4 linked regions of the Bombyx mori genome follow. The protein of the gene in region 3 binds, or shares a complex with, the protein of the main gene of each other region. Links are inferred from orthologs where the notes say so. Each region holds a gene or a part of one and is shown on either strand. Other genes may lie near its edges.

Region 1 (5,626 bases), on a different chromosome or scaffold from region 3:
GAAACTAAAGTAAATAAATTCATTCGTGTTGCTTTATTGCTGACTAGCGCTCCGCTCCGGCTCCGTTCGGGTCTTTAACAAAAATTTCAACGATATATGACGTTGTTTTATTTTTTTAAATAAAAGAACACTTATTGCGGCATAACTATAATAGTTAGACATATCCTGTCGCGACACTTATTATAAATAATAATGTGTTCTACAAGGTGTAGTACATTATTTAATTCTATCATCAATCGTTTTCGCAGGGCACGCGATGTAAAGAATATTTTAGGTAATTTTTTTACACCTTGGGTTACATTATTGGAGTTTTAGTTAGTATTCCTAGATTATAGCCTATGTCACTCCGGAATAGAGTAGCTTCCAAACAGTGAAAGAATTATTCAAATCGGTTCAGTAGTTTCGGAGCCTATTCAATACAAACAAACACACAAATCTTTCCTCTTTATAATATTAGTATAGACTAGCGACCCGCCCTCGCTTCGCTTCGGAAACATTAAAACACACATGAAACCAAAAAAATAAAATCAGGGACAATGTCGGCTTCTAATGGAAAAAGAATTTTTCAAATCGGTCCAGTAGTTTCGGAGCCTATTCGAAACAAACAAACAAATCTTTCCTCTTTATAATATTAGTATAGAAGTATTAAGTATAAAAGTATAGATTAATTCCTTTAACGGACGGTAGTAGGGGCACTGTTTAAATCCTATCTATTTTTTCTCGATAGAGATACGAATACTTTTTCGATAGTCATTCGTGCTTGCCCTTCAGAGTGTAAAGCTTTAATGAGGATTGAAAATTTTATTAATTATAGCTAAATCCAATACTTAGCATGATTGTTTGCACTTGATTCTAAATGAAAAGTTAAGCTTTGTGATGCTCTCTAACAAAACTAATTGTGAATTGTTAAAACTATTTCATTGTGTGATTTTTTAAAAGTTTTAGTAAATAGTCATTACTTGTTGCTATGTTTATAACTATATTTATGCATAAAATTTGATAATAAATTGAGAATAGATCTATAATTTTAAGGTATTTGATAATAATTTTGGTACTATAGTGTGAAGCTTTGAAGTTTTCAAACAATTTATCTAAATTGTTTTAAAACATTTTTAATAACAATCACGAGGTTTTGTGTGTGTGTGTTTTTTTTTCTGTGCACAATTTAAAACCTCTGTCTTTGTAAATGTGGCCGCAAACGGGGGTTGCTAGCTGATAAAGATGGAAACCTAGATCCAAAGTAGAGTGAGAGAGTTAATGCGTAACATCGTTTGTCAGACAAGGATGGCGGTAGACAAACTTACCCTATTTAAAAATTAAAAACTAATGCGCATGCGTCGAGTGCTAGTTTATTCAACCAACTGCGCTCACTTTCTTACTTTACAAACGATAATTTAGTTAGGTACTCAAAAAAAAGTGGGAATTTTTATTTGCTATATTATTATGCTAATGAATTATATTCATATTGCTGTTATTAGTAAAGTTTTGTACTTAATTTATAAAAAAATTAGATGCTATGTTGGGTATGTACATACAGTACTCAAAAATCTAATTTAGCAATTTTCATTGTTGACTTCTAAGCAATTTAAATTCGATAACGGCGGATTTCTATCATAAAAATGTGATACCGCAAATGCTTAGTTATTTTTAAAGAGTGCAGGTTAGGCTGAAAGCTATCTAGTCTTTTATTGTTAATTCGTACGAGAATAGCGCGAAAGCGGTGATGGAAGTTTTTTTTCCTACCTATTCGGTAGCCTACACACACTGCGACGCAACTTCTTGATGAATTTTAGTTGTTACAAAAATGACGCGAGGATTTGATATTTACTTATTGCGCGACAGGAGGTGTTTGTTGATTGTAAAAAAAATGGCTTACACGAAACGAAAAGAAAAACGGAAAACTTTTACAAATTAGTAAAGTTCTGCCAATTTTACTATAGCACAGCTGCCTTAGATTGAATTAGACTAATAGTTGTAGTAGTCATTAAACAATAACATGTTTGAACACACAACCTCGTTATATCCGTAATGTGAATCCAGCTTATTGTTAATGTTGTTTCATTGAATAACTAAAATTTAAAAATAATCGTTTAAGGTCTGAAATGAAAGAGGTTCATTAATGGTTTTTTATTATACTTAAATACTCAATAATTGTGATGTTTTTCTAGTCGGTAATATTATGGTTACCTATTGTGTACACTGCTTACATTAAATAAAGGAAATTTTGAAATTCATTTCATTGCCTATAATTAAAGTTTTTTAATTTTTTTTATATGTAGATGGGTGGAAGAGCTCATAGTCCACCTGGTGTTAAGTGATACCGGAGCCCATAGATATCTATAACGTAAATACCGTCACCCACCTTGAGATATGAGTTCTAAGGTATACTTACAACGGCTGCCCCACCCTTCAAACCGAAACGTCAAGTGGTCCTGTTATTAGCAACATTACTATTTAGCTTATAATGTATATAACGGAGAAATGGTTTTCTAAATTTTAATACTGATGAGAATGATTGCAGTTCTAAATGTATTTTTTTATTGCCCTTGTAGGCAGACGAGCATACGGCCCACCTGATGGTAAGTGGTTACCATCGCCCATGGACTTCAGCAATGCCAGGGACAGCCAAGTCGCTGCCTACCGTTAAGTACTTTCCGCAAGCCTCGTTTGAAGAAGAATACGTCATAGCGCTCGGAAAACACCGTGGAGCGGAGCTCATTCCAAAGCCGTATGGTACGTGGCAAAAAAGATCTCTGGCTTAAAATGGCGTTACTATTCCAAATTAGGTACTGTTTTGCTGCACGCCAAAGTTAAACGATCGTAATATAATTGTTTCCTTACAGAACTTCAAGTTATTTGGATTTTAGATTAATGTCTCAAATGAATCAACTTTATTTCATTTCGCTCCATATGATCATTTTTCATGAAAGAGAATAGAATGTACATACAAAAGACTAGGATGTATGGTGTGTGATATCTTCGCCTTTCCACCTGGAAATATTGGAAATATTACTTAAAAACGTCATAACGTTCAACTTCAAATAACTTCATTCAAAAGGTAGTTTTACAAATTGATACTGTAGGTAGCTTAAAACCACCTTCCATAGAAAATATCCATATAAGGATTAAATTTTAACAGTGGTTAGTAGGATAAATATCTGAATTGAATAATGGCTGATCGCTTAACTCAGCTTCAAGATACCATAAACCAAGTACGTATGACAAAAATGAACATTTCGTTTTAATTGACATTAATACATTTCACATACGTTGTATTTATTTATTTGTAGCAAGCTGAGAATTTTTGTAACAGCATCGGAATTCTACAGCAGTTCTCGTTGCCTAGCAAGTTCCCAGGCTTCGAACGCGGTGGTTCTCAGACTCCTCAACAACCGCAGAGTCAAGAGGATTATGCGGTTTTATTCGCGGCTCTAATTTCTCGTTGTGCTAAGGACATTGACACGCTCATCGAGTCTTTGCCCAGTGAAGAGAGTTCAACTGAGCTGCAAGTGCAAAGCCTTCGGCGACTTGAGGCCGAGAACAAGGAGGCTGCTGAGCAACTTGAAGAGGTAAGGGCTGTCAACTCTCCGTGCCCAATACACGTGCAATTTATCTCAAAGGACACTAGCTTTCTTTTTTATCATAAATTGGGAATTATCATGTAACTAAACCATTAAAATAATGATTTTAAAGAAGTAATTATGCCATGCAGTTTGCTTTTGTATTGCCATTTGAATGTAAAATCAAATATTCCAAGAAAGTATTTGTATTACAGACATTGTATTTTGTCTATAGTCAACTTTTGTAATGTAAACAAGCACCAATATTTAAACATAAATTAGTACCTACTTAAGATAAAATTGACAGTAATAGCGATTTGGTTAAAGTTGTTTCCTTAACTTCATTTTGAGATGGCACACTGGAATTGTATCAGCGAATATTACTTTATTCAATTTTCAAAACCCATAGGGTGTTTACAGATTAATCTCATGTTTTAGATTGCCATGACTACAAAAACTTATAGTATTTGAAATATTGGAAGTAATCATATCGACGCTTGAAAGGCAAACGTGACTAAGCGACAATGCGTGAACTTCACAGTAGACTAATTTCAAGATGAAATACCTGAAAAAATTCTATTTTAACGAAACTAGCTGTAGGATTGAAATGATTTTAATAGACCTAGAAATATATTTTTTTTGGCATTGAATATGGTTATTGCCTATCATGTATAAAGCAGTTATTGTCGCTTAGTCACGTTTGCCTTTCAAGCGTCGATATGAAAATAATTACACATGACTTACTCTCTTTTCATTAGCGTTAATAATAATGTCAGACAATATTTAATAATTCTACAGGTAGTCCGTCAAGGAGAGATTCTTCTAGAGAAGATTCAGGGTGCTCTGAGTGATATTGCTCAGTGCCAGTTGGACATGCAGAATCCGGCTCTGATCCTCAACAAGGATGTGAAACCACAGTTATAGGGATGGGGTCTGGGGTTCTACCAACGGTAGTTTCCTCTACAAAAGGATACGTTAAAACAAGAATACACGGAAGTATTTTAGTATTATATGAATTTTAAAATTTTGTGTTTGAAATCTTAATGCTTAATGACGAAGATTTTTTTTTGTTGTTTGCAAATTTGTTACAGGGCTTTCATGCCGGTGAAAACTAAATTGTCTGAATGTCATATTTTTGAAACTATAATAAGAAAAACATTGGTATGACATATATCATTTTAAGTAATCATTTGTTATAATTGAATAGTTAAGTATACATGACTTGTTTATTCATTATTTTCTATTATTACGTAAGGCATACTTTAAGTCTGAAAGGGTAGGTACCGCCACTCTGCCTATACATACTGTAAAGCCGTTGTTTTCCAGTTTTGAAGCACAGGTTAGTTGTTGATGATGATTTTGAGATGAGTGGCGGCAATGACTGGGATCTCTGGGCTATGTTAATCTCTTAATATTAGATGAACTCGTTCATCTATATACATAAAATAAAATGAACACAAGGAAAAAGTAAAGGTGATTGTATTCAATGATGAACATGAGTTTTAATTAAATTAAAAAATATTTATGTTTTATGTTTAATTAATTTAATTAAGTTATTATGTTTAATTAAAGGTTTAATTTTTCTTTTTGTTGTACGCCCTGTATATGCTGGAATGGACTCGAATCTAAATATTAATATACTTTAGAGATTGGAAATAGAAAACTATAATCTTGAAATGAAAAAAAATCTATATGATTGAAAATAAATGTTGATAGCTAAGAGTGTTTTATTAAATCAAATGTTTTATTTGTATAAATTTCAATACTGATTCAATGGTAAAGAATAGTTTAATTTAGTAGAAGTAGTGTTCCTTCAGGTTTATATATGTATTAATGGTAGCTTATTTACATTTTAGCATCTCTGAAAGTGCACATGTGTGGGAAATTAGAACAAAGTTCCTATATGTGGCTTAACGGCTTCCTCCAAAAAGCGTCAGTAAATTCCCATCCTGTTACTGGGACGTTATTTCATTTTATCTCATCTCGTTTTACTTCTTTCCAATTAATTTCATATTAATACATTAAAATTTCAAATAAATGATCTTCATTTCATTCTACTACTATCA
Region 2 (5,822 bases), on a different chromosome or scaffold from region 3:
GTAGCCCATACAGCCCCCAAGTCTTCTGTTTTAAAGCCAAAAACAATTAACGGTATTATCTAAGGCCAAAGAATCGGCTCGTATTATTATTATTGTTTATTAATATTTATTTAAAATCTTATTAATTACATAATATTTTTTAAAAAAGATATTAATAATACAATTTTTTAAAAACACTATATAAAAATAGATTGCCGCTGATGGCGGTGTCTACGACACAAGCCACCAGTGGTTAGGACTCCAGAGTGAGAAGCCTCCTCACAATGCGTGCAGTATCGAGGATAACTGCTTTCTGTATTTGGCCCTTAACCCAGCTGGATAACGAAAGTTTTTTAAGATGTTGATCGAAACTTTTCGCTATCAAGCCGTGTACCGATACAACTATTGGAACAATGATGGTTGAATCAACATGCCATATGGCGGTAGTCTCGTGGGCCAGGTCTAAATTTTTTATTAATTTGTCCTTTTCTGCCTTCACGAGGTTCTCGTCATGAGGAATGGTGACATCAACCAACACTGCTCGACGTGCAGATCGATCTATTATCACAATATCAGGTTTATTGGCAACAATATACCTATCCGTGATAATAGATCGGTCCCAGTAGAGCGTAACATGACCATTATCAAGAACTGGTTGAGGTTGGTATTGGTAATAAGGTACAGCAGAATCAAGAAAACCATATTTCAGAGCAAGTTGTTGATGGATAATCCTAGCCACTTGGTTATGTCTATGCAAGTACTCGCCGTTAGCAAACCGAGAACATCCAGAAACAATATGTCTAATAGACTCTCCCGGACGGTGGCATGCCCGACAAATGTCGACCGTCCCATCCTTTAATATAATATATTTCCGGTAGTTGTTCGTCATGATAACTTCGTCCATAATTGCAAAGATAAAACCTTCAGTTTCCCCAAAGAGGTTACTGAATCGTAACCAGGCCACGGAAGCTAATTGGTCTACATCAGGCCCTGTGAGAGCCCGGTAGAACCTACCGTGTAACTCCTTGCTCCTCCATACGGTTATGCGATCTAAAATACTCTTATTATTATTATTATTATTTGGTATCTAAACATACCTATCTCACACCATGTTTATTTAATGAAAAATTAAATGGAACTAATTATGAAAAGAAATTTAACTTGGATTAAAACTGAAGAATTTTTTTATAAATTATATAAAATATACAGATCAAATAAAATAATTCATAAAACTTACATCCCGAATTCCTGCCAAAGGTCTGCTAAATTAGATATTTTATTTCATTTTTCATTTTTTATTTGGGTTATACAATTACGTATGAAATGTAAATAAAACTACTTTTATTGTCTTTAGCGAATAATTGAATTTTTTCAAGTCTTAATAGTTGGCGCTACTGCAAAACATGCTGTCTGTGGCGGGTAGCCATCATACAACGCAAGATGATTGACGGATGCCTGAATCTCGCTTACGACATTTTCAAGATAAGGCAGAGCTCGAAACTTAGGCATCCGCCACAGAAAGCATGCTTTGCAGTAGGGCCAACTATTACTGTAGATATACGATAAAGGGAAGATCTTCCACCGAGCGGGTGATAATTGCTCTGTAGACCGACGGTCCGAATGTTGTTGTTCGGAACTTGTATATAAGCAAGCTGATCTTGAAAATGTCGTAAGCGAGATTCAGGCATCCGTCAATCATCTTGCGTTGTATGATGGCTACCCGCCACACTGTCAAACTGCAGTTTCGTGTATCCACTTAATCGCAATCGCGATGTGCCTTTTAATTTTTTTTATTTTTTATTGCTGAGATGTGTGGACGAGCTCACAGCCCACCTGGTGTTAAGTGGTTACTGGAGCCCATAGACATCTATAACGTAAATGCGCCACACACCTAAAATATTGTCCTCTGTATGAGAGCCTACTGCTATAATCCAATTGATCCAGCTCAATCCAGACACCAGAATCTTGCAAAGTTATAATACACTTAACAGATCTTAGTTACTCATTGATTTTCTTGTGTGATACATTTTATGAAACCATTTTAAATGATTTTATAGACACACCCCACCCCTAAGTTTGTTGCCAATCTTTCCTGTAACATCCTTAATAGTTAATTGTCTCCACGACTTGCGAAAGCTAAAGGAACAAAGCCCATAAAACATCTTTTTTATTTTATTTATAAAAGCCAAATTGTTTACATGAAATTTCTTTTTGGTTATAAAACATCAAAAATCTTTCGACAAAAATCAGTTCGGGATTTTTTTTTTCTAAAGGTTCATTGAACACTCAGTACATTCTCAGAATTTTAGCGAAAAATTACTTCACTTCATTTTGTCCACACTTACGGTGTTGTCATAAACTCACCTCTAAATTGAAGTTCATTTAACTTTCACAACACCTTCGACCTTGGTGGCAAAAATTGGAATATATGAGCTATGTTCCCTTTGCTTATCCATAAGGCCAATCAAACAAAAAAAGCATACTAAAGCATAGATTAAACACTTATTTTTTAGAAAGCATAGACAAAGCTCATAATAATTCATACATTTCATACTGTAGTGTGTAAAGTTGTTTTAAAATAAATTTCTTCAATTTAACACAATATTTAAGAGTATGTAAATCTTTTTTTGTAAATATAGGCATATTCCGTTTTTATTAAGTGTTTGCTAGAATCGTACGTACGGATTCCCGGTTCACAATGTCAGAGACAGCTCAAGTTAGCTCTTTACCTCTGCCTCCAATGCAATATATAAATTTTTACACGGATGAAAATGTTAGAAGAAATAGAGCTCCTCTACCACCTCGACCTATTCATGATTCTTATTCAATGTTTGGTAATTCTTTTAACGCTGATGATGCTATTATACGTTCGTTAGAAAGCCAGGTAAGTCCTAAAACAACTAGTTTACAAACACAAATGTTTATGTAAATAATTCGTTGTAAAAAATTCCTTCAGGGATTTCGAAGATTGTATCCTATGCATTTTGAACGAAGAAGAGAATTGAAGAAACTTAACCATTCACTGCTGGCAAATTTTCTGGATTTGTTGGATTTGCTTGTTCATTGTCCAGATTCTCCAAAGAGAGCAGAAAAAGTAGAAGACCTAAGTTTGTTATTTATTCATATACATCATCTTCTAAATGAATTTAGGCCACACCAAGCAAGAGAAACATTGAGAGTAATGATGGAATTGCAGAAAAGACAGAGGGTTGAAACTGCAGCAAGGTACTATTAATAGCGTTAATTTGTCATATGTTGGTGTTTCTACTATATCTATACTGGACACCAAGGAACCATTCTAGAAAATAAAGATAGATCTCAGATCACAAATGACAAAATAAAAAAGATGCCAACATAAATATTTAAGTTATGTTTTTGCCACACACATGATATAACCATTAAGTGTGTGACTTATCCTTTATTATTTTAGGCTTTAACATTATAATATGATCTTTAATTGGGTGGTAATGTGAAAGTCTGATTTAAATTTCACTGGTTGGATTTTCACTGGTTGGAAACATTAGGTGCCACTAGTGATTAGACATTTTTATCTGTTACCACAGTACCTTCATGATTGAGATTCCCAGACATTTTGCCCATCAATGTTATGTTAATTTATTTATAATTAGTAGAACCTGAATAAATTTATTGTGTTTAATCTTACCATAGGCTGTTAAACACAAAGTCATATTAAGTTCTCCCAATGTTTGATATTGAAGCAGAATAATGAAAATCAGATTTGTAATGAGTTTAATTTTTTTTTATTTTTATTGCTTAGGTGGGTGGATGAGCTCACAGCCCACCTGGTGTTAAGTGGTTACTGGAGCCCATAGACATCTACAAAGCAAATGCGCCACACACCCTGAGTTATAGTTCTAAGGTGTCTCAGTATAGTCACAACGGCTTCCCCACCCTTCAGACCGAAACGCATTACTGCTTCACGGCAGAAATAGGCGGGGTGGTGGTACCCACCCGTGCGGACTCACAAGAGGTCCTACCACCACCAGTAAAAAACCTTAAACTTGTCTCAATAAAAAAATTTTAGTATTCATAATGTCATATCATCTTTTTCAAACCAAAATCTGCCCTCTGCACTTTTTAGAGATTTCCAAATTTGAACTGTTTTGAGTAATATACAAAAATATTTTAATATAAAAAAAAAGAAATTAGCAGATATTGTTTACTGATACTACGAGGGCGGCACTGAAAATTTCGGGAATTAACGAAGTGACGAAGTTACTATTTAAAAATGTATTTATTGCTTATCGAAGTATTCTCCGCGAAATTTGACACATTTTTCCATACGATGGAACCAATCATTGAAGCAACCATTCCATTCGGAAGTTGGGGTCTCCAAAATGGCCGTTTTGTAGGCGTCTACAGCTTCTTCAGGTGATGAAAATCTCTGTCCACGCAATTTATTCTTTATTTTAGGGAAAGTATAGAAATCATTAGGGCTTAGGTCGGGGCTGTACGGCGGATGGTCTAATAATTCTATGTTTTCTTGCTCTAAAAACTCTTTTGTTCTGTGCGCGGTGTGAGAACTCGCATTGTCGTGATGGAGGATGATGCGGCGGTTGCAGTTCTCTTTACGGAGTTCAGAAACGACCTGTGGCAAACAAATGCTAGCATACCATTCTGCATTAACCGTTCTTTGTCCCTCAAGAGGAATAGTCGTAACATGGCCGGTTTTGGAGACAAACGTGGCCACCATTTTTTTTGCAACACTCCGTGAACGAACAATTTTTGTTGGCTTTAACTCATTTTCGAACACCCAAACTCGTGACTGGTTTTTTGTTTCGGGTTCGTACGCGTATATCCAGGATTCGTCACCTGATACAATGTTGTATACAGCATTTGAGGATCCTGCGTGGAATCTTTCGAGAGTTCTGACGCACCAAGTAACGCGAGCCGCTTTTTGCTCTTCACAGAGCGAATGCGGTATCCATCGGGAAAACAACTTTTTTACACCTAATTGTTCATGCAAGATTATTTGTATTTGACTCATGCCAATGTCTAAAGTTGCCTGAATTTCGCGGTATGTCACATGTCGATCTTCCTCAATCAGCTTACGCACAGCATCAACGTTTTCTTGGGTGACTGCAGTTTTTGGACGACCTTGAAGGGAATCATCACTGAGCTTGACACGTCCACGTTGAAACTCAGCAAACCAGCGATAAATTGTGGTTTTGGATGGGGCTTCATCACCAAATACAGAAATCATCCGGTCAACACACTGTTTTTGTGTTAAACCACTTCGAAAGTCATAATAAATCATCGCTCTTGAATTTTCTCGAGTCAATTCCATTTTCTCAACGACTAAACAAGTTTGACAAAACCTCGTGACAAGACCGAGAATCTTTTTTAAAATAAATAAATGGTATTCGATTTTTAAAACCAAGGAGTTTTCAATTAAAAAGATTTTAATATGACAGGAACAGTAGAAATATTCCATTCCCGATACTTTTAGTGCAGCCTAGTATATTATAACACAAGATTGAACTCGAAAATTATTTGTTGTTTATCGTCGTGTTTTTGTGGATGGACAGCTGTTACCTTACAAGTTAAATTTCCATTCGGACCATTGTTGCTTGACTTTGGTTTAATGTGTGAATTCTCTGAAGCAAAAAATAGACAAGATGCTGGTATCCATGGAACCTAATCCAGTTATAAGAGCTAATAAAGTCTGTTCTTTCAGATTCAAGAAACACTTAGACAAGGTACAGGATATTTTACAGAATGCTCTCCAAAGCTTACCAGATCAAAATGAATTGGAATCAAATTTCAAAGTGCCAAATGAATTGTTGGACCAAATGGAAAATAATACTTGCAATATTCAAAAG
Region 3 (5,827 bases):
TATGAATAAATCAAGAACCAAACGCATCAATGTAAAATTGGCAGATTAAAGCAAAGTGTGAACAAAGTTAGCCTGTTTAATTTATATGTCTGACACCCAAAAGGATGCAGAAAGAGAAAAATGAAACTATATAACGTAATTCTTCATTCCAGAATTAATCAGACGAATATTATTTATAATAAAAAGTGAGTTAAAGATTTATTCTGAGGTAAATAACAACAATTACAGTATTGAAAAATAAGAATTTATTACATTAATATCTCCTAAAAAGACAGTACCAACAGTCTTAATTTTTAAAGATGCATTCCTATTATTTATTTTACATAATTAATCATGCTTACAAGAATAGCACAATTTTTAGTATAATAAACAATAATAGTTAAAATTGGTAAAAATATTTTTTATTTTATCATAATATTTCATTAATTGTTAATGGAACTTTATGGTTATTGTTAGAATTCCACAGGTGTCTATTATTATAGTACCACCAACGTACCATCAGTAACAAGAAATCAATGTTTTTCAAACCATTAACTACTCCCCAGTGTTATGTCAAATGTCATATATCTGCAGGTAATAGTGGAGCATGACCCCTAGTTTATATATAAATATTAATATTTATTTGTTTGTTCGTATTTTATGTGCCCGCGTCTATTGAATTCAGCCACTGCATAAAGTGCTCAATGTACAATTTCACCAATCATACTTTGACTATACATGACATAATTATTCCCTGAATTGCTAATAAGTTTTAACCTGAAATGTGTAACCAATAGTAATTTATACATATATATCTATTTAAAGGATCCACCTCATTTTCAATGTTCAAAATTGTTAATGTTGACAAATGTTGTAAAATGTGAACAAATGCAACACAGTTAATGAATGAAGTATCAATGCTCAAAAACATGCAGACAGATAAGACTAAATTCATTAGAATTGCCTTTTTTCTTTAGCTTTTGTCATCTTACTTATCTTTGTCAGTTTACTTATATGAACAATGTTATTGGGCAGCATAGCAATACAATGACATTATTTAAACATTAAACTTGAAATAAAGGAATAATTTACTTTTGTGTCTAAAGGCTACAATAGGATACAATAGTCTTAAATCACATAACAACCAATAAAGAGAGTATCTTTGGCTTGTGATGGAAAATTAAATAACTTAGTTCTTGTTCTTTTAATTTATGCTCTAAAGTGTGCTCTACACTGTATTTGTTTATGGTTGAAAAAATTCATAAAAATCACTTGAAATATAAGTGACCTCATCAAAAATAGTAATTTCTTTTCCTAGGGAATTAAAAACAAATTTTTCATGTCTACAATTAAAAATTATATATCCATTATACAAATCCATACTACAAAATATGTCTTGCTATCTCTGGGGAGCTGGCTTTGGTTTGGGCATCTTGGACAATAGCCCTTGTATTTCTTTTTTTTCATCATAACTTTTCCACATCTCATAAAGGTTAATGATAGCTCTCACAATTTCTTGGATCTGTAAATTTGAATTTTTAAATGAGTAGTTTCAGAAGTTTTGTAATACAACCACACAATAACCATATTTTTTTTAATTTTAATATATATTCAAGTATATTTCTCACTTTATCCATGTCAACATTTAGCTCAGCAAACCAAGGTTTGAGATTGTCTTTACCAAGCATCACACATGCTATTTGTAAGGCACCAATTGCAATCTGTAATTCAAAATATAATGGCAATGAAAAGTTTTATGAATAAAAAATGAAATGTGACTATTTGCATTACATAAATCATACCTGATAGGGTGGGTACAACAAACTAACATCTGTTCTCAAGGAATCGTTTACTATTCTCCAAGCGTATGTCAGAAGTTGATCATCTTGTCCTATGTCTTGGACAAAAAGTAGTAATGGTCTATATGGTTGGTATACAATTAAACAACAATCTAAATTTTCTAGTAAATAAAATTCACACTCCAGAATGTGATTTGTCCTGTACGGGAACTCTTGTTGTCCATAAGCATAACTAAACTTATTTTTTATAACTGTCTGGCAGGTTGTTATTAATCTGGAATTGGATATAACACCAAATTCTTCAACTTTAGATGCAAGAAATACGCATGTTGGTGCCAAAAGAAGTGGATCAATACACTTCAAAGAGTTCCTTGCATAAAATCTTTTAAAGTAAACTGTTGCAGTTGCGATTACTTGCTGACGAAGTTTAAGTTGTTCGCCTAAAACTTGAATTATACTAGCAAAAAAATTAAATACTTTTTGGTATTCTTCTTCTGATAAAATATTCAAATCAAACTGGCGATCGCGCCTTAGCTCTTGCTTATCGAGTATCCATTGTTGATGATGTGAGCTTTGCCAAAAATTTCCAGCCATTTCTTCAAAGGCAAAACACAATAATTATTAAAATTTGGTAAATTTTGATTTATCAAAAAAACATACTTTTTTTACAAATTTAACATTTTTCCATCCATTCCTATTCTATGAAACTTTTGAAACTGTGTATTTTAGTAATATGTATGCATAACCAGGGGGGTGCAACTCCCATACAAAGGAAAAGAACATTCAACTAGCGTCATCTTTAGGAACCGGCGAGGTCATTTTTGAAACGTTTTGGCCTTAATGATCTAATAAACTCACTAGATGGCAGGTACGAGTTCTGACTCAATAAAAAAGGTTAGCGTACTTTGAAGCAGTGCTTCCACTTTTAGGGAATTCTCCCTTTTTTAGGGAAAAATAGCTGATATTTTGGATGATAAAGACAATTTAAAAAATACCAGGATTTAGGATAGTTCGGGGTAAAAAGCAAAGCCTATACTAGTAACTGTTGTGAATTTTAAAATAAACGATAATTAAAGTAAAACAATGAACATTTTATTTTATGGAGAGAGAATGACATTAAGTCGAGTTGACAAGTAAAAGAATAAAACAGAGTTGTGTATAAAAACTATAAAGAAGGTTTGATTCAACAGTAACCCTCTAGTAAAGTAAATTATAGATTAAGCCACTGCTTTTTTCTTAGGGATTCCCCAGAATCCCAATAAGTATAATCCGCCAAACTTTTATTTACCTATTTTCGTTGATGTCACCAGAACTTACTTGTATTGTAATATACAGGTACTTCATGTACCATGAAAGATTATCATGGTAATTTCATTTACGAAAACCTTGTAATTGTCATTTCACTTTTGCTAGCAGTTCCTTCTTCAAAGACTGAGGTGGAAAGATAATTCAGTGTTCTCAAATGTAAAAACTGACAAAAGAAACAGGCTTTCTAATGAAACCCTGAACGGCTTGCTTCATAGAAAGTTCCCAACTTTGCCAGCAAACAATTGCTCAATTTTAGAACCGAACAGTGTTAGGTTGCGTGCAGCAAAAGAATATAAAAGCAATGCGTCGACTTCCTTGAAAATTCTAATCCTATATATCTATGATCTTCTGGGGGCGTTTATATTATATATACCTACATTAAATAATATGCTGTGGTTTATTTTCTGTATTTTATTTATACTTTCTATATAAAGGATTTATGAAAGTTGTCTAGGAAATTTTAGGGATAAATTCAAAAGAAACTAGGGTAAAATGTGTTTAAAAAAACGTAAGTGGAAACACTGCTTTGAAGTTTTCAAAATTCCAGGGCCGTAAAACAATCTCAAAAAAAAAAAAAAACGTTTTCAAAATGTCGTAACGATTTAATTTTTTAAATCGTTTTTTTTTTGTCTTGGTGTGAGTTATTTTACGTTGTAGTATTAATTTAGAGCATCTTTTAGCTTTATGAGAATATTAGACGATTAGACATTGAGAAACTCTGTTTTGAATTCTCTTTAGACATAACTTGGTTCCAATACTTTTTTCTTCGTTAGCGTTTCGTAAGCCTGTGTAACTATTTTCGTTTCTTACAGAAAGTTTATTATTAAAAATCAGCATGCCTCGAAGATCGAAAATGAAATGCTATTTCGGATGCCTTGATAACGGTGAGTTTACACTATTTTCCCGGTATATTATTTGCTAACAGAATTATTATTCATAATATAATTAAATGAATTAGCACCAACTAATGGTCCTTCCTATTTCTGCTGCCTAGCTATCATATATGTTAAGTTTGATCAAAACAGTCGGTGTTAAGTCTCGTACTATCACACACACACCTCAGATAATAAAATTGTCTCGAGTGGGTGGAAGTATTTATGTTTTGCAACTCAGCGTATTATATGCTTATTGTCAAGTGGGCCCGAACTAGTTTTTTGGAATGGAATAAACAGGAAAGCATGACTGATTGATAGTCATGCTTTCCTGTTTAAATAAAATACAGCACAATTGATCTCACATCCAAAGTTAAATGATGGCATTCACATTTTGTTTCCTGGTGTTTGATAACCAAGTTACACCAAGTGGCCTGTGACCACGTTCATCCTTCTACCCAATATAAAATAATGTTTTTATTTTTGTAGACAAAGGTTTGATAATGACAAAATTTTATGGAAAAATTATAAGGAGCACTAAAATGTCTGAAACATGAAAAGATTGATGCACTATATTTGAACCAGAACGTGTTATGTAATATATTAATTTGTAAGTATGATTACATTAACACTAAATTTTTCATGGTCGTATTTTTTCAATATTTGTTACATACTTAAGATACTTTGTTTCTCCGTTTCAGAAGAGAAACTGATTCAGCAAGGAATGTGAACTCACAAGGGATCTTAATTTTTTTTAAATATGTTTATAATTTATAAATTAATAATTGAAATAGTTCATAAGAACTAAATTGATGCCAATTTTGTTTTAAAATAGGTTGTTTAGTTCTTATAGTTATACTATTACGTTTTGAATAGTTGTAATTAGTAAGTTAGTAATATATGAAAATACTGATATAAATTTTTGTAAATGAGCTTTTGTAAATTCTACGAGAAGATGATTTTAATTAATGATCAAAAGTCAACGATCTTCAAAAGCATTATTTGCAATTATTTAGATTAACTGTGGAATATATTTGCTAAGTTGTGTTTTCTGTATGAGCAGATATAAATGAAAATGCCCAAACATGATTATGTTTCTTACATTTTCATTATGTGAAATCAATATGCTTGTGACTGAGTATATTAATAATTTATTAAAACTTAAGTGATAGACAGCAACCCCTATGGCACTGCTGAAGTTTATAAGCACTGGTGACCACTTATCATGAGCCGGGTTGTGTGCTCGTCTGCTGTTGAGTGCAATAAAAATTTTCGAGACCCTTTCTATTATTTAGATGTAATATTAATGTACATTTAATTTGGATTAAAAGATAAATTTACATTTTATGTTTGCATGTGTATGTTTATAATTCATTTGCATGTAACGAACATCAGTTTCTTTTGTAACAAAATGCAAACTAATGGTTTGTAATGAATGTAATTAACTTTAAGATGATTTTCTTTCAATCTGCTGTTTGTTTCATCTAGTATTACCAAAGCTAAAGCATCAGAAACGTCAGAATAGAAATAATTTAGATAAAGAATAAAAGTATAACTATTGTAATCATGTCTAAGATTACTATAAGTGTCATTAAGTACAAACTATCAATATTTAAGAGTACTTTAAATCATCATTACATTTTTTAAACATTTTTTGTTTTTTTTTTGTTTTTCAAATCATGTAACAAAACGTTTGTGCAGAACAAAATGTCACATGTTATGAACATGATTGTGGGTTAATCGTTTCTTAAATTTCTAAATGTTTATAAGAATGCTAAGAATAATTTAGTATTCACTTTAGTGTGTGTATTATCTCTACAATGCTAGTTTAAATGACAATTATTGTATGACGAAGCATAGGTAGTATTT
Region 4 (5,707 bases), on a different chromosome or scaffold from region 3:
CCTCCAATAACATCTATTACCATTATGTTAGAAGAGGGTAATAGATTTCAGTACTAATTACTGTCCCTTCACAAATTACATCAATTTAATTCCCAAATTAAGTAATACTGTTATGCTTTAGAAAGAAATAGAATAGATTCTTAACATTTTGTCTGAGTTTTAGTGTCATTATATACAGAAATGGAATGAAAACAAAATTAACATATATTCATAAACATTATTTTACAAAAATTATAATACCTAAGTTTATGTTAAAAACTATTTTATTTAATAAAATTGCAAATGCTTATTTTTCTACTCTATTTTGGACAAATAAATAAAAACAATACAAGTTAACCAACTAATTGTAAAGGTCCACCACTAAAAAACAAAATAAAAAGCAGTAATTCAACACAACAAAAAATTTGCTACGCAATCAATCACTACGTTAATGAGTGTTGCTATGGAAACCAATCCCTTAAACTGGGTTCCCAGAATGCGTTGTTATTGACAACAGCCAGGGACCATGCATCTATCGATAGCTTTATTTATGTTTGCAATCAGAGGGTGGAAAATCAATACCGCGATTACCTGGGGATGGGGTAGCGTTTGTGCAATTACTAAAGGACCTAAGTACCTGGTATGTACAAGGTACATTTAATAACATAAAATATCAGTTACTTACGATTGCCGCAGCAGCTTTCAGCAATAGTTACAATCACATCATTACTCACAATGTTTCCAAACATATTCGTTAAAACATCAATTGCGTTTACTATATTTTCATCACTGTTCCCTTGGTCCTCCATTGTGACTTCTAAAGTGTAACAACTCACACTGGACTGGACATTAAATAATATAAAATGAAATTATTTACCTTGATAAATATGAACACGTTTATTTAATAACAAAGACTAGTAAACAAATTTGTTTAAGCATAAAGATGAAATCCATAAACCTGCTGACCATTGTCCGACTATTGCGAAGTGAATTTATTTTGACACCACACCACAGATAAATTTAGACATATTGACACTGGCAACTGTCAATTAACAGTATTGTAGTAGTAGTAGTAGTTATATTTTTCCAACTATGAAGGCAAAAGTATCATACCATACACCTTAATCGGTTATAATTTTTTTATGAAAAATGATAATATGAAGTGAAATGAAATGAAGATGATTAATTTGTAACATTAATCAATTGGCACGAAATTAAATGAAATAAGATGAGATGATATGGGATCCACTGAAAAAATCTCAGTAAATGACCACCATTTTTCTGAGATTATATTATTTCATGCTATATCATCTCATTTCATTTCATCCCGGTTGATTAATGTTACAAATCAATCGTCTTCATTTCATTTCATTTCACTCCATATTATCATTTTTCATAAAAATAAGAATATAAATTAAAATAAGACATGACTTAAAGGTCTTAGTTACCCGGACATAAATTACCATAAATAATTTGGCGGGAACGCGAGGAGTGAAGTTGTGTGATTTGTTTTTTTTGTCTATTTAGTGTTTCTTCAGGTTTAAATGTGTATTAACAGTGGCTTATTAATTGTTTAATATCTGTGAAAGCGCACAAATGTGGGAAAATGAAACAAAGCCGCTGAACGTAACTTCTCGGGATCCTCCAAAAAGTCCACTTCAAAAGTCTTAGTGAATGACCACCAGTTTACTGAGATTTGAAATATAATCCCATATCATTTCATCTCGTTTCATTTCACTTCGTTTTCATTGTATTTCATTTCGTTTTCATCTCATTTCATTTCTATAATTTTTCATATTAAACAAAAGTTTTCATTAAATTAAAATAAGACTTGACTTATAAGTCTTAGTTACCAGGTCGTAAAATCCCTTAAAAATATGCATATGGCTACTTTAATGATCACAGATGAAACTTAAACTTTTTGGCGGGAACGCGAGGAGTGAAGTTGTGTGATTTGTTTTATTTTGTCTATTTAGTGTTTCTTCAAGTTTAAATGTGTAATAACGGTGGTTTATTAACTGTTTAATATCTGTGAAAGTGCACAAATGTGGGAAAATGAAACAAAGCCGCTGGACGCAACTTCTCGGGATCCTCCAAAAAGTTCACTGAAAAAATCTTAGTAAATGACCACCATTTTACTAAGATTATATTCATCCTATATCATCTCATTTCATTTAATTTCATCCCAGTTGATTAATCATTTTCATTTCATTTCCCTCCATATTATCATTTTTCATAAAAATAAGAATATAAATTAAAATAAGACATGACTTAAAGGTCTTAGTTACCAGGTCATAAAATCACTTAAAAAAAAGCAGATGAAACCATAGATTATACACTTAATTTATTTGAGAATGAAACTTAATTTAATTATTTAAGCTAGTTTTAGTGTTTTAATTTAAAGATTTAGGCTAGTATAGATATAATTTGCACTCATGAACTAGATATAACGGCTTTTTCACTAATTCACGGAGAATAATGTTATAACGTAGTGATTACTTGCTCAGTGAATAACGTCTTGTATATAACTTGTGAGGGAAGGTATTCAAAATGATTTAAAGTGTAATAAAATATAAATCCTAATTAGTCAGGGATCCAAACTGCATTTCCCGACCGTAACAATGGGAGACAACTTTCAAAATAAGACCATGGCGGCTGTGATGATGGACTACGATTTCAAAATCAAGACTCAAAATGAACGTTCCAAAGTGGAAGACTTGTTCGACTATGAGGGCTGTAAAGTAGGTAGAGGTACATATGGCCATGTATATAAAGCCAGAAGGAAGGATGGCTCCGATACCAAAGATTATGCTTTGAAACAAATTGAAGGAACTGGACTTTCTATGTCAGCATGTAGGGAAATTGCTGTAAGTATAAATACAACATAATTATTTCATTTAAGTAATTTGTTTTTAATTTTAAATAAAAATTTTAAATTTTAAATAATTTATATCTGTATAAATGTGAATTTATTACCATAATAATATGTTCTATGGGGAGTGCTATGAGGAACTGTTTGAAATGATTCCATCATCTCGTTTTTACCATCGCACCGCCGACCACCGAAATAGAGTTTGTCCACACTACCTTGAGCCACTCAGTTCATCCACAGTGTGTTTCCATACATATTTTTGCCATGTACCATACGGCTTTGAAATGAGCTCCCCTTCATGGTGTTTCCGAAGCGCTATGACATGCCCTTCTTCAAACGAGGGCTGTGGAGAGTACTTAACAGTAGGCAGGGGCTTGGCTAAGCCCCTGGCTGAAGTCCATGGATGACGGTAACCACTCACCATCACCATGTAAAAAATTTGCATATTTTGATTCTTGTTTCTATTATTATTTCAAATAATATGTTCATGGGATATTACACCTATTTTGATTGTGTTGTGTTGTATAATTATTGTGTACTGTAAACAAACATTGCATTATCAGCTGTTTTTCTACTTCATATTCGGTCTACAATATAGTAGTGTGGTTTAGATCATAATAAAAAAGTTCGTGTAACAATTTATTTTCTAGCTATTAAGAGAGTTGAAACATCCTAATGTCATAAATCTTATTAGAGTGTTTCTTTCACATACTGACCGAAAAGTCTGGCTGCTATTTGACTATGCAGAACATGATTTGTGGCATATAATCAAATTTCATAGAGCAGCTAAAGCTAATAAAAAATCAGTTATGGTGCCAAAAGGAATGGTGAAGAGCCTCCTCTATCAGATATTGGATGGGATACATTATTTACATTCAAACTGGGTTTTGCATCGAGATCTGGTGAGTGTGATGTATATAGTAATATTTATAATGATGAATCGTTCACATACTATGAGTTCATGTTGTATTGAAATTGTAATTTATACTAAATTAGATAACATAATATATAAAAGTATAATAAATATTATATTAAATAAATTACTATAATTGATAGAAATTCTACTGTTGGCCTGGAAGAGATTAGAAAGACTAGGACGGCAGTCTTACTAATCTCTTTTTGTGTTGAATGATGTGCATTTGTTGTTTTTTTATTTATTTATTACTAGCTGACCCGGCAGACTTTGTAGTGCCTCAATCGATAAATAAAAGACCCAAACTTTTGCATAAAATAAACTTAAAACAAACAGAAGGAATCCGTCCGACGGGGGACATATCAAAGGAAAAACAAAATTGTTATTTTTATTTAATTCCGAACATTTTCATATTTATCTACCTTTTAAACCTCTGGACTTCCACAAATAATTCAAGACCAAAATTAAGCCGTTCTCGAGTTTTAGCGAGACTAATGAACAGCAATTATTTTTATATATATAGATTATTTTGGTGTACCATAAATCAAACTTAATGAATCGATAAATATTATTTTTGTTCAATATCAATATATGTTATTTACAATTAATACTCCAGAAACCAGCCAACATATTAGTAATGGGTGAAGGACCGGAGCGTGGCCGAGTTAAAATAGCTGACATGGGATTTGCAAGATTATTCAATGCACCTTTGAAACCACTTGCTGACTTAGATCCAGTAGTAGTCACATTTTGGTACAGAGCTCCTGAACTGTTGCTTGGTGCCAGACATTACACTAAGGCCATAGGTATATATTTTATTACTCTTACAATAATTCACCTACAGCCACATAAAATTAAGTACTTACCTTTTACTTACTTAAGTAATTTTTACTTAATTGACGTCTACACTTGGCAGGTAAAACACCTTCTCTTCAGCATGGAATTAACAACTTGGTAGCACTTTATTAAATTCATCATTATTTAAATAAATCCCAAAAAGCTTAGAAAATAAAAACTATTATACTATTTTCATTTTTGGATTGTTACTTAACATAGCTAAAATTCATCTGAAATTTCAGTAAACCCGGTCGGTAATTGTGCATTCTGTGAACTACATACCATATCAGTAGTTCATTGTAAACATAAAATATAATGTAATCGAAGAAGAATATAGAAAGATTCCCACCCCATGACACTTGTTCAAAAATATCAGGATATGGGACTGCAGTAGGCCAAGGCGGCACTCAATTATTTTGAGCTCATGAAGTATAGACTCATTGGTGCAAAATATTATATGTGTATTGTAATGTTAAAATGTTGTTCTTTCACGTCAATACAAACCAATGGATTGACATGATTTTTTTTAAAGTGAAAGTATTCATACTGATACTTTTCCTGGACGAAATGTGTAGAGCCACGGTTTAAAACCAAGTCAAAAGAGATGTAAAAAAAAAAGTAATTTAAGAAAATCTCATTTATTTGCAGATATTTGGGCCATAGGATGTATATTCGCAGAACTATTAACATCTGAACCTATTTTCCATTGTCGCCAAGAAGACATTAAAACAAGCAATCCATATCATCATGATCAACTAGATAGAATATTTAATGTTATGGGATTTCCACTTGAAAAAGATTGGGAAGATATAAGGAAAATGCCAGAACATGCAACACTAGTTAAGGATTTCAAGAGATCAAAGTAAATTGAAAAACAAATATTTTGAGGATGCATTGGTCTAAAATGAAATTAAATTTAATATGTTCATATTCATTACAGCTACCAGAACTGCTCACTCAGCAAATATATGGACAGGCATAAGATTAAGCCAGATAGTAAAGCTTTTAGTTTATTACAAAGACTTTTACTGATGGATCCTAACAAAAGAATCACTTCAGAACAGGCTATGCAGGATCCATACTTTGCTGAAGACCCACTGCCTACT

Evidence for each region. The genes of interacting proteins can lie anywhere in the genome.
Region 1: cyclin-C (region 3) and mediator of RNA polymerase II transcription subunit 21 share a complex: the UniProt entries of both Caenorhabditis elegans proteins name them as parts of the mediator complex. The link is inferred for Bombyx mori from reciprocal best matches to the Caenorhabditis elegans genes cic-1 and mdt-21.
Region 2: cyclin-C (region 3) and mediator of RNA polymerase II transcription subunit 7 share a complex: the UniProt entries of both Caenorhabditis elegans proteins name them as parts of the mediator complex. The link is inferred for Bombyx mori from reciprocal best matches to the Caenorhabditis elegans genes cic-1 and let-49.
Region 4: cyclin-C (region 3) and cdk8 share a complex: the UniProt entries of both Caenorhabditis elegans proteins name them as parts of the mediator complex. The link is inferred for Bombyx mori from reciprocal best matches to the Caenorhabditis elegans genes cic-1 and cdk-8.

The regions. Positions count from the first base shown.
Region 1 is NC_085122.1:11,557,177-11,562,802, reverse strand, and holds mediator of RNA polymerase II transcription subunit 21, read left to right. Parts: upstream 1-2,281; 5' UTR 2,282-3,170; coding exon 3,171-3,212; intron 3,213-3,290; coding exon 3,291-3,569; intron 3,570-4,358; coding exon 4,359-4,484; 3' UTR 4,485-5,280; downstream 5,281-5,626. UniProt on the Caenorhabditis elegans protein: Component of the Mediator complex, a coactivator involved in the regulated transcription of nearly all RNA polymerase II-dependent genes.
Region 2 is NC_085119.1:10,079,802-10,085,623, forward strand, and holds the start of mediator of RNA polymerase II transcription subunit 7, read left to right. Parts: upstream 1-2,477; 5' UTR 2,478-2,677; coding exon 2,678-2,863; intron 2,864-2,935; coding exon 2,936-3,204; intron 3,205-5,677; coding exon 5,678-5,822. UniProt on the Caenorhabditis elegans protein: Component of the Mediator complex, a coactivator involved in the regulated transcription of nearly all RNA polymerase II-dependent genes.
Region 3 is NC_085121.1:11,204,547-11,210,373, reverse strand, and holds cyclin-C, read right to left. Parts: upstream 3,661-5,827; 5' UTR 2,373-3,660; coding exon 1,782-2,372; intron 1,701-1,781; coding exon 1,608-1,700; intron 1,502-1,607; coding exon 1,379-1,501; 3' UTR 229-1,378; downstream 1-228. UniProt on the Caenorhabditis elegans protein: Component of the Mediator complex, a coactivator involved in regulated gene transcription of nearly all RNA polymerase II-dependent genes.
Region 4 is NC_085129.1:10,511,964-10,517,670, forward strand, and holds the start of cdk8 (cyclin dependent kinase 8), read left to right. Parts: upstream 1-2,362; 5' UTR 2,363-2,600; coding exon 2,601-2,846; intron 2,847-3,501; coding exon 3,502-3,753; intron 3,754-4,380; coding exon 4,381-4,570; intron 4,571-5,249; coding exon 5,250-5,463; intron 5,464-5,541; coding exon 5,542-5,707. Other genes in the region: uncharacterized protein LOC101736423, read right to left, coding at 665-788. UniProt on the Caenorhabditis elegans protein: Component of the Mediator complex, a coactivator involved in regulated gene transcription of nearly all RNA polymerase II-dependent genes.